3 linked regions of the Bombyx mori genome follow. The protein of the gene in region 2 purifies or fractionates together with the protein of the main gene of each other region. This does not show direct contact. Links are inferred from orthologs where the notes say so. Each region holds a gene or a part of one and is shown on either strand. Other genes may lie near its edges. The genes, in order: integrin-linked protein kinase, paxillin and rho guanine nucleotide exchange factor 7.

What was found.
Region 1: the proteins of paxillin (region 2) and integrin-linked protein kinase purify together in Homo sapiens (affinity purification with mass spectrometry; 4 studies listed by BioGRID and IntAct, with this or other methods). This does not show direct contact. The link is inferred for Bombyx mori from reciprocal best matches to the Homo sapiens genes PXN and ILK.
Region 3: the proteins of paxillin (region 2) and rho guanine nucleotide exchange factor 7 purify together in Homo sapiens (affinity purification with mass spectrometry; 3 studies listed by BioGRID and IntAct, with this or other methods). This does not show direct contact. The link is inferred for Bombyx mori from reciprocal best matches to the Homo sapiens genes PXN and ARHGEF7.

The regions. Positions count from the first base shown.
Region 1 is NC_085117.1:15,202,071-15,206,275, forward strand, and holds the start of integrin-linked protein kinase, read right to left. Parts: upstream 2,829-4,205; 5' UTR 2,774-2,828; coding exon 2,685-2,773; intron 1,666-2,684; coding exon 1,500-1,665; intron 970-1,499; coding exon 785-969; intron 1-784. UniProt on the Homo sapiens protein: Scaffold protein which mediates protein-protein interactions during a range of cellular events including focal adhesion assembly, cell adhesion and cell migration.
Region 2 is NC_085116.1:14,677,620-14,681,277, reverse strand, and holds part of paxillin, read right to left. Parts: intron 282-3,658; coding exon 62-281; intron 1-61. UniProt on the Homo sapiens protein: Cytoskeletal protein involved in actin-membrane attachment at sites of cell adhesion to the extracellular matrix (focal adhesion). Recruits other proteins such as TRIM15 to focal adhesion.
Region 3 is NC_085110.1:9,314,665-9,318,322, reverse strand, and holds part of rho guanine nucleotide exchange factor 7, read left to right. Parts: intron 1-72; coding exon 73-294; intron 295-476; coding exon 477-689; intron 690-3,645; coding exon 3,646-3,658. UniProt on the Homo sapiens protein: Acts as a RAC1 guanine nucleotide exchange factor (GEF) and can induce membrane ruffling. Functions in cell migration, attachment and cell spreading. Promotes targeting of RAC1 to focal adhesions. May function as a positive regulator of apoptosis.

The sequences.
Region 1 (4,205 bases), on a different chromosome or scaffold from region 2:
ACACTCATATAAATATTAGCCTATTCATTAAGTACATGTATTTTCTACATGGATACCAAGTCAATCAGATGCATGGTTCAGTAGTTATAACGGAACATCCGTAAAAACCACTATAAATTTATATATTAGTATAGATTACAATATAGTACCTGTGGTATTAAAAGGTTTTTATTGACATTTTTTTTAATGAAGCGCTTGTCCTTGTCCGGGCCCTTTTTCATTTAACAATGACAGGACATGACCTTGAGACATGAGTTGTAAGGCTTCACTTTTAACAGTACAACGGCTGCCCCGCCCTTCAAACCGAAACGCATTATCGCTTCACGGCAGAAATAGGCAGAGTGATGGTACCTACCCGTGCGGACTCACAAGACGTCCTACCACCAGTAATTACGCAAATTATAATTTTGCAGGTTTGATTTATATTGCACGATGTTGTTCCTTCACCAAGTCAATCGTGAACATTTTAAAGTACGTATTTCATTAAAAAAATTCGTACCCGCTGGCGAGATTCGAACATCGATGCATCGCTACATATGCACCGGACCTCTTATCCTTTAAGCCACAACGACTTTAATGTAATCTCTTGGCTTCATCTGAAAGGGAATGGTTTGCTAACAACTGCCTGAGGGCCTCTAATGAGAGTCTAACAACTCAGAGTCAGTTCCGCTGAGAAAATCCCGAGAGAAACTCAGGAGGCTAGATAGTTTTAAAGAAAACTTGGTCTAATAAAGAAAATTATATGAAACAAAACATAAAATTGAATCCTTAAAAAACTCTTTACCTTTGTACAAGTTGACCTCTCGTTTTGTCTAGAGGTGTATCACCATACTTGTTCGCTATTGAAACAAGAGCACCAGCAAGGACTAGATCTTCAGCTATAGCATTGTAGCCCCAGAAGCAAGCATAATGAAGTGGCGAGTTCCCATGCTCATTTGTGAAATTCACATCTACTCTGTTTTGTAAAAGCTGAAAATAAATTTAAATGAATATCATGAATTGCATGCGCCAATCATACTTTGTTTCGGATTATTTTTAAGTTATAGAAACAGTACAAATAATAATATTTTTTACAAAAACAATTTAATTGAAATGTATTTGTTATAGATGTCACCTCCATTATGAGATTTGATAGAGCCAAGCAGTTCAGTTTCATCACCTAATGAGCCATGCAATATTCCTTAAATTTAGAAAATAACACGAAAAGAAATAAAATACAAAACATAATATTGATAGCGGATAGAGTAAACCCAAAGAGACGAAGAGCACGAATGCGTTTCGGTTTGTAGGGTGGGATAGCCGTTGTAACTATACCGAGACCTTAGAACTTATATCTCAAGGTGGGTGGCGCATTTACATTGTAGATGTCTATGGGCTCCAGTAACCACTTAACACCAGGTGTGCTGTGAGCTCGTCCACCCATCTAAGCAATAAAAATAAAAAAAGGCTCCTTGATCAATCAGATTAAACATGCATAAATAATATTCATGAGAAATTACCAATTGCACAACAGGTCTGTGACCATGGGCAGCTGACAGATGCAGAGGTGTATCATCTCCCATATTAGTCACGTTAATTCTTGCTCCACGCTTAATCAGCATTTCTACAATCTTAAGGTGCCCTTCTTTGCAAGCCCAATGAAGTGGACTGAAGCCATGATCATCGCTAGAATTATTTTCTCATTATAATTATTAATCATAGATATATGAATAATAAATAGCCAATAGGATGATTTCACTTTTGGAAATAGTTTCAAAATTAAATATACTTGGATATTATGAAACATTTTTCTTGAGTTATGTTGAATGCATTAAGTCATAAATAATAATAATAAAGTGATGAAGTGTTTTTAGTGAATAATACAGCCTATTTTTATTTGTAAAATATCAAAGACCTATTGCAAGAATGAGTTCTAACACACACATAAGTATGCAAAATGTTTTCCATTTAAATTTTCAATTTGTTTTTTTGAAAAAATATTATTTTTATTTTATACTGTATTGGTAATAATACTAATAAAATCAATTAAGTTTTGTAAATAACACTAATATTTGGAATATTAAAAAAACAAGTTTATGCTATAGAGCAGTTACACATTACAATTTGAAGGCTAAACAAAACTAATTGGGTCACTTGCACATTCACCCACCTATACAATAAAAAACTAAGCAGCAATAACATAGGAACAGGAAAATTGTTGTGTTAACTAAAGGTATAGGACTGTTGTGACTCATGCAGCAGAAATAAGAGGAAATATAAAACTTTAATTAGAATAGAAAATCCATGTTAATATACTATATGTGCACATAATGAGGAGCAATTTTAAATTGATCTTTGATTAGATCTACATTCAGGTAGAAGACTGCATAATCGTAAAATCGTTTTTTCATTTGAAGATCTCTCATTTGTACAATTCATTTAATTAGGAAGTTTTTTGCACATAATGTTTTGTAGTTTATTTGAAATTACTTTTCAAATTCCTGCAATTGTAGTTTTTCTTGATAATTTAGATGCTAATTTGTCGAACAGTATATAAATGACCTCATAGCTGTTACATACTTATGATATTTTTGTGGGAGCTGACGTGTTTGTACACTCCGCTGTGGGCGTGACAACATATCTTGACCATCTGGTCGTAGCAAAAACTTTAAGGACTAAAAAAACCTAAAACACTTTAAACTCACCCTTGATTCATATCATGTTCGGTATCATCGAGCCAAACTCTTACTTGCAAAGCATTTCCTTCTCTACACCATTGAAATATATCTTCCATTTCTTAAATCGCTTTAAACAACGGACACGATTTTTTTTAAACTATTAACTAAACGGTTAATTTAGGTAAAGAATGTAATTTAAACGTTGAAATTAAAGAAAAATTATGTACTGTTCCAATATTTTTAATTTAACATAATATTATAAATTGTAAATATGTTATCTGTGAATTCTGTGATTACATTTTTTTTTATTTTTTTTTAAAGAGTTTTTATGACCTGGTAACTGAAACTTTTAAGTCAAGTCTTATTTTAATTTATATTCTTATTTTTATGAAAAATTATAATATGGAGTGAAATGAAATGACGACGATTAATTTGAGACATTAATCAACTGTGATGAAATTAAATGATATGAGATGTGATGATATGGGATGAAATATAATCTCAGTAAAATTGTGGTCATTTACTAAGATTTTTTCATTGGACTTTTTGGAGGATCCCGAGAAATCACGTCCAGTAGCTTTGTTTTATTTTCCCACGTTTGTGCACTTTCACAGATATTAAACAGTTAATAAATCACCGTTATTACTAGAGGTCGGACTAGGTAGATCGATTTAAGGTCGTTGACTTCAAACGTAGAGGATAATATGGATATGCCTCCAAAATACCGGAACTTCATATTTATTGTGATATTTGTTCCGGAATTTTGAAATTAGCGTGAATCTGTGTTTAAGGTGAAAAATGTATTAATAATATTAATCTACGCTACCAGTGCTAGCTAATGGTGAAAGAAATTAGTATTTTATTTTATGCAAAAACGCCTTGGAATAGTTACACCGTATTTTGTCCCTTTCTGTTGAATTAGAAATGACGCTTGTCAGTATGAGACAAAACTTAGACAGGGTTTTTGTTATCTCATAAATATAGAAATTTTATCCGATGAGTATTAAACATTTTTTTTCAATTTAAAAAAATAATCATTATGGATAAAATGGCATGTCGATATTATAATATCTTGACGAAAGTATAAAAAATCAATCTACCTACTCCGACCACTGGTAATTACAAATTAAAACCTGAAGAAATATTAAATAGACAAAATAAAACAAATCACACAACTTCACTCCTCGCGTTCCCGCCAAAAAGTCCACTTCACTTCATTCGTTCCCAGTCCACAGAATATACACCTACTACTTGTATGACGTCTACTGCATCTTTGTAAAAATAACACTAATTTAAATGTTCTTCAAGCTTTGACTGTTTCAAGATTTTTTTAGAATACAATCAATATTCAGTCTAACATTCCACTTTGAAACACATCATCATCTTCAAGTGTCTTCCCAATGCTGAGTGTATGTCTCTTCAAATGCATTCCATTCTTTTTGGTCTCTTGCTTTTCACATTCAGTCCTTGCCAGCTATTTTGACCAGGTCGTCGGTCCACCTCATTTGTTCTCTGCCCATGTTCAGTACAGGGCCTTCACGCTAATAC
Region 2 (3,658 bases):
CCTCCAAAATGAGATCGATTAAATATATTTTCGGATGAATACACACACAGATGTCTCTCACCTTGAAGTCGGAGAGCGACGCCATCAAGTCATCAAGTTCCTTGGTGGCGCTGGACGCGTGGTGCTGGTGCCGGACTACAGGGGCCGCCACTGGAATCTGTTGCTGAGCCTGAGCGGGTTCTACGACCGTCTCCTGCACGGTGACGGTCACCTGTTTGGTGCCCGGTCTGGGGAGAGTTCCTCCCGTCGATGGCGGTGGTATTGGAGATGTGGATTGGCGGCTGGCGACAATTATTGAGAGGAAATTGAAATTATTTTTTATTTTAGACATGTGGTCGGTTTCTTGTTACATTTCAAAAGCGCGATCGACTTTTACTTGTTGCTCGATGATTTCTAACTTTTAAATAATCAGATGATCGAAATTAAATAATTTAATTTAAGATTTTGATTTAGCACCTTTTTTTTATTGCCCCTTTAGTCAGAGGAACATGCGACCCACCTGATGGTGAATGGTTACCGTCGCCCATGGACTTCGGCAATACCAGCGGCAGAGTCAAGCCGCTGCCTACCGTCTAACATGTCTAATTTAACCTATCCTAATCTAACATGACTATTTTGTAAACTAATATGTGAATATTTGAGCTTTGTTACAGTTTCTTAGGAAAATGGTGTAAATGATCTTAGCCTGAAATTATAGTTTCTTTCTCTGTCTCTTTGTTTGAGAACAACGCAAAAGCCACTGTCTCCATTTCAATCATACTTTATCTTACGATTAGTTTCTCTATACAGTAACTGTAGTAAACAACAAATAATTTGCCAAAACGAAGTCGTATCAATAAAAAAACAATGATAAAAAAATCTTCATTCTCAATTCAACGTGGGCGAAACCGCGGGAACAACTATTTCCTGTTCGAAATTATCACATATATACATAATATATACACCTATATATATTTCGGGAGTTTTATTCAATAGACTTATTTACTATTACAACCTACGCGAGAACGGACCCGGTACTCACAAATTAATTACTGTTAATTTAATGGATGCGCAAACGAGATTATTTTGCGTATTCACTTCGAACGTATTTTTTAAATGTACTATAAACTATTTAAAAACTTTGCGAACGTACAAAATGTTATCTTAGAAACTTGTGATCATATCCCACAGATAACCCCCCCACGTTATCTGTGTCATATACCCTGTATGTACGGATGGTTATTGATTTTATGAACCTTAACGAGCTAAATACTTGATCGCTGATAGCCTAAGGGGCTGACCATTCCAGCTACGCCGGGAAAGTAGGTGAGCTCACGAGCTCAACTTGAGAGAATTTGCCAACACTAGCTCTCTAGCAAGAGCAGTGCTTCGCAGAATCTACCACCGGATCGGAAACGCGACCCACTGAGAAGATCCGGCGAGAAACTCAGTGGGCTGTGTTCGCTCGTCGACGAGTTCGACATACCCGATCCTGCGGACCGAATGATAAACAGCCGACGTCGCCCTAAGCACATAATTTCGGATCCACCCGATCCACTAACGGTGCTTTTAGGTACCACAAGCACGGTCACCGTTCTCGTCGAACCCGTCGCTGGCGACGAAGGGTTCGGCGAGTAAACTAACCCATGACACAGCCCACTCACTGAGTGTCTCGTTGGATCTTCTCAGTGGGTTGTGTTTCCGATCCGGTGGTAGATACTGCGAAGAACTGCTCTTGCTAGGGCCAGTTTTAGCAACACCTCCTGGTTTGAACCCTGAGAGCTCACCTACATACACATTAGAGTTACGCTGACATAGCCGCTCAAGGCTTAGGTAGGAAAAGCTTAGGTAGGAAAAAAAAGACGAGTTCGACGAAGACAGTGACCGCTGCTTGAGGGGACTAAAAGCACCGAGAGTGGATCCGGGGGAGGATTTTGAACATAGCTTAGTATCGGATGACGATGCGTGAAAAGGAAAAAATTGATACTAATATATTTAATTCCTTAGTTAAAAAGATTTATAATTTTATTTTTACTGAACATTTTGCTTTCTGCTATTATTTGGCGATGCGTCCTTTAACCATGAGATTGAGATTTTTATTTTATTTTTATTCTATAGGAAGCACGATTGTGTTAGAATCTAACTAAATTAGATTGTGGTACCTTTCAGTATGTTCGTATTCACTAGTCATCGATAACATATCACTAAATAGGATGTCAACATGTGATGATTTATATTGATTCAGAATTTTACATTCACCCTTCGGATATTCCGTGTTGCAGTCGTATACAATATATCAATTCGTAATACGAGGATAAGAGAAAGATTGATATCATCGTGACGTGAGCATATGGCCACTTGATGGAGAGGATCTACTGTTGATCATGGCCGTCAACAATGTTTGAGACACAGCCAGGCCGCTGCCTAGTTGGAATAATTAATCCATTTTAGAGGAATAATCCGTCTATAGTTGAATGAGAATCTGGCTTTGGTGATAACGATGATGCGGGATACGGAACGTTTAGAGTGAAAAGGATGAACGCATGGGTAAGAAACGGACGGAAGAGAGATGTAAAGAGAGATGGCGATCTGGCATTATAAGGTGAATAACAAAGACGTGTGCAAAAAATATATATATATTTTGTTACTTTTCCAAAAACCGTGTTATTTTACTTTGAGCTATCCCACAATGTTATGTTACTAAAACCCATACCCCGTCCGCTTCTATTTTCCTTACAGCTTCTGATGAGTACAATTAAATTAAATAATAAAATAAAGATTATGACAAATGTATTAGAACAGGTGGCACTGTTGAACATAACCCGTAAATACTAATTAGCGAACGGAAATGTAGTTCACGAGTCGCTCTTTGTTCTTGGCCAATGATCATTTACCTTCGCAACGTTTTAACAAGCTTTTATGAACATACATATTAATGATAGCTTTTTCCCGCGATTTCGTCTGCGTGGAATAGTTACTTTGGCGTATATCCACATATAGCGTAAGCTCTCAAAAGGGAAAAATACCCCGATTTTGAAACATACTTTATTGGTGCTCCGCTTGGTCCTATTAGTCCTATTGGTTTTAGCGTGATGTTATGTAGCCTATAGCCTTCCTCAATAAATGAGCTATTTGACACTGAAATAATTTTTCAAATCGGACCAGTAAGTAGTTCCTGAGATTAGCGCGTTCAAACAAACAAACTCTTCAGCTTTATAATATTAGTATAGATGTTTCGACAAAATCAATTTGAGAAGACAATCGAAAAGACGATATCTTAGTTTTAGGATAGATATCGTCGTTGATTCGAATTTAGTAGATAGAGTTGAAGTTCTTCGGTGACATTGCCAGAAAGAGCGGTGACAATCTTGAAAAATTGATGGTAAGGATGGATGGTAAGAAAGAAGGATGAATGGATGGCAAGATTGCAGGGAAAAAATCTCGTAACCGCAATCCAATGCGTTGGTCCGACCAAATCCGCACCACTCTGGATACCACAGTCTACGATGCCATACACACCGCTGAGAACAGAGGAAGATGTCCAAACATCATCCAGAGAAGAATAACTGGAGATGGTCACGACCCTTAGACATGAGGAACGTGACTCAGGGAGGAGGAGATAGCGAATTCACATTGAAACTTTTATTTTAAAATCGATTTTGTATCTACTCTATTTCTT
Region 3 (3,658 bases), on a different chromosome or scaffold from region 2:
TCAATTACAAACCATTGTACATGCAAATTACCTAATACAGCTGGATTATTCTATTTTTTTCCTATGATTCAGAGTGCTTGTGCGGCATTGCGACGTCAAAAGGAGTTAGAATTACAAGTTATAACCGGAGAAGTTCGTGGCTGGCCCGGGGGTGAACTAGCCTCATTGGGTGACGTGTTACATATGGGCAGCGTGGCAGTGGGCCCGTCCCATCAGGACCGCTACCTTGTACTCTTCCCATCAGCGCTGTTATTACTTTCAGTTAGCAAAAGAGTATCTGCATTTGTGTATGAGGTAATATTTAGTTAATAGCTTTAACTACAGAGTTCAAAGTCGTAAATCATTTTAATTATGACAACCGGATGGTCTAATTTAAAAGATTTGAAAGAGAAGAGTGTTTTCTGATGCCTGTTATGTTTTCTGCTGCTTACAAATAAAGAAATTATTAAATTGACGTGAAATGTAAACTTTTTTAGGGATGTCTTCCACTGACAGGCATCACAGTGTGTAAATTAGATGATACTGAAACAAGAAAAAATGCATTTGAAATTAGTGGTCCCATGATAGACACTATAGTGGCAGTGTGCCAAACAAAAGCTGAGGCTGACAATTGGGTCAGTTTGTTACAAAAGCATTCTAACACGAACAGTCCAACACACGAGCCTGGACAACCGCAGTCATTACCTCATGTAAGTTACAATTCCACATTTTCCATAATACTATATTAGAGTAATTTTTTTAAACACATGCAATGGCACCACTTCCATTTTCTTTACTATGTGTGCCGAAACCATGTTTCCGAGACGTACATAAGTACAGTCAGACTCAAAATTTAAATATTTTCGACAAAGAAATTTACTATACCCGAGAATCGAAAGCAGACCCCGTGATACAGCTGTCAGGGTTGCTGCACCGTCGACGCGTTAATTTCACTATTGATGTTGATTTTGTATTTTTAATTTAATCGTAAGATAATAGACATTAAAAAACAATTATAGTACATTACCTTTCCTCTTGAAAAAGATATATACTTATTTTGTGATATTGTTACTAGCTGACCCGCTCTCCTTCTGAAGGAGCGTTGTCTAGTATCAACTCTAGCCGCCGAAGTCTTTATCACGTGACGCTACCACCTCCCAGCTACCCTTCTGCATCTCCATATTATTCATTAACGAAATATTTTGCGAGACTTGTTAAGAAAAAAGTTATAACAAAACAAATGTTGCGTAAACTATTGCACGAAAGAACATGGGCGAAAGCGTTCGAATTGTCAGGCTTGCCTATTAGGAGGAGACACAAAAATCAAATTAGGCTAAAAATTGAAAACGACGGCACCATCGGAACTGAAACAGAATATTCGGATAGCGACGATAGCGACAGAGAAGGCAACACTAGCTCGAATTGTACGGATGCCGAAGCAGCAGGCTGTTTGAAGGTACTGAGGCAGGATGCTATGGACAGTCCCAGAACAATCTCCTCTTCGTACAGTAGTTGGGGTAGTAATATGGGCTACGTGCGGTATTTCGATAACAATTCAGATATGCATTTAGAAGAATCACAAAATCTATCGAATTTGACATTAAAGGGAGATTGCACCAAAGATTTGTTTCAAGCGATGTATGGTTTTAATGAAATAAACAGTGAAAGTGATCGAAACCTGGATTATGATATAGTTAATGCACAAAATGTATTTGGAGGGTTTCCTGATTTACAAGAATATGAACCACATTCCGAAAGAATTGAAAATTCAAGCTTCGAAGCTCGACCTTACATGGCTTGTGAAGATTTAGTGAATATGGATCAAAATACACAAATAGAGACGCTAGGAAACGATGACAAAGATTTTTTACCAACAAGGCGAAGCTATCCCAACTGCAGCGTAAAGGTCGACACGTTGCCAAAACAATGGAAATCGACAGAAGAGAACTACACTACTAGAGACAGCGGTGGATCCTTAACATCCAACTTATTACAAGTTTTAGATCCGCCCTCACCAAAGCGATGCAGCCATGACATTGATTCCCTCATAATAGATCCTCCTCCAATGTTTCGAAATGAAGATGATATGAAAGTTATTAACGTAAATCTGAACACAAATGTTCCATTTCGGAAACATTCGCTAAATTCTGATAAAAAAATCCGACGTTCTATGTCAAGATCTATGGTGGAGACAGAAAGTAACAGTAATAAAGATGACGGAAATCGGGTACAGAGAATGAGTTCACAATCAGATAATGATAAAATCCACAAGAAGTGTGAGTGCTGTAATAGATCCTTGTGTCCTAGTCCAAGATCCTCAGATTCAGGTGTTGTGGGTAGTTGCACCCTAACATCACCAGACATGCACGATTATGCCAGCTCAGGCAATACAGGAAATGATTCCGATCATAACGAAAAGATACCTGATCGGAATAACATGAGAACACCAGAAGAGGCTCGTGACACAAGAGGTCTCCGAAGGAAACTGACACTGTCAGATATAGAGGCCGCTACTTTTGAAGATCAATGTCGGTGTACATCTCCGTTCGGTTCCACGGCTAGAACCTCTTGCGTTACGAGTGTGACTTCGGAGAACAGCTTAGACGTAACTGATACATCGAATACCCATCTAAAGTCAACGTTTGCCGCCACACCTCCCGTACCGACTTCACAAATCAAAAGAACGTCTATAAGGAGGAACATTGAACGTTATGTACCAGAGATTAAACTGAAACCGGAGCCGCCGCCGAGAGTATACCGAAAGCCTAGCACTCATTTGGAGGTCCCTAAGAATGTTCGGCAACACTTACCTTGCCAATGGGGTACCTTGAATATTACCGAGCGTTCTAAGCCTAGTCTTCACTATCACATGCGTATATACAAAGATACTTCGGAAAACGTTAACGATAGAAAATCGCGTGTCAACACACCGCGGAATCGCGACATATTTTGCAACGATAAGAAACAAGATAGCAATGCCGATTTCGAACAAGTGCGAAAAACAAGGTCTCGCAGCGAAGATCTGTCGAAATTGCAGAAGGGCTTAGCTGAAGGGCAGAGCGGTTTCGTGGTGTATCGTTCAGATTTGTACGCTCACTGGTGGATGAAGGCAAAATTACCGATAACCGTGGTCACCGACTCAGGCAAGGATTATTCTTTTGTAAAGAGATACTGTTTGTGTATCACTGGTTTGAAGATAATATTGCCTTGAAGTTTGCAACCATTAGATTAATGCTGTTATTAGAGTTACCCCATCGATGGAGTGCTTTACTTGATCATCCTTGCCTGTGTTTATTCATATTACTAACTAAAAAGAGATCACTGCAAGTAGATATCATATGTTTAATTGTACTAACAACAAAATCCGATACGTGATGCATGGAAAGGCTTGCATACCTTGTACTTCCCATGAATTGGAGATAAAAACCAAAGAGATATAAATCAAATTTGATTTTTTCACTTATTTTAAATGTCTTAAATCTAAAAAAAATTTTGATGTTAATACATTGTTATTCAAATGCTGTTCAAATTTCAATTCTGTGTTTGTTTACGAGATAAAAATACAGAAACGGACAAAAACGATACTGGATGTTTAATGTCTGAATATTCTGCCGCTCAATACAATATACTCGACTAAGAATGTAATGACAGTAATTTTCTTTACAGATGGCCACGAGCG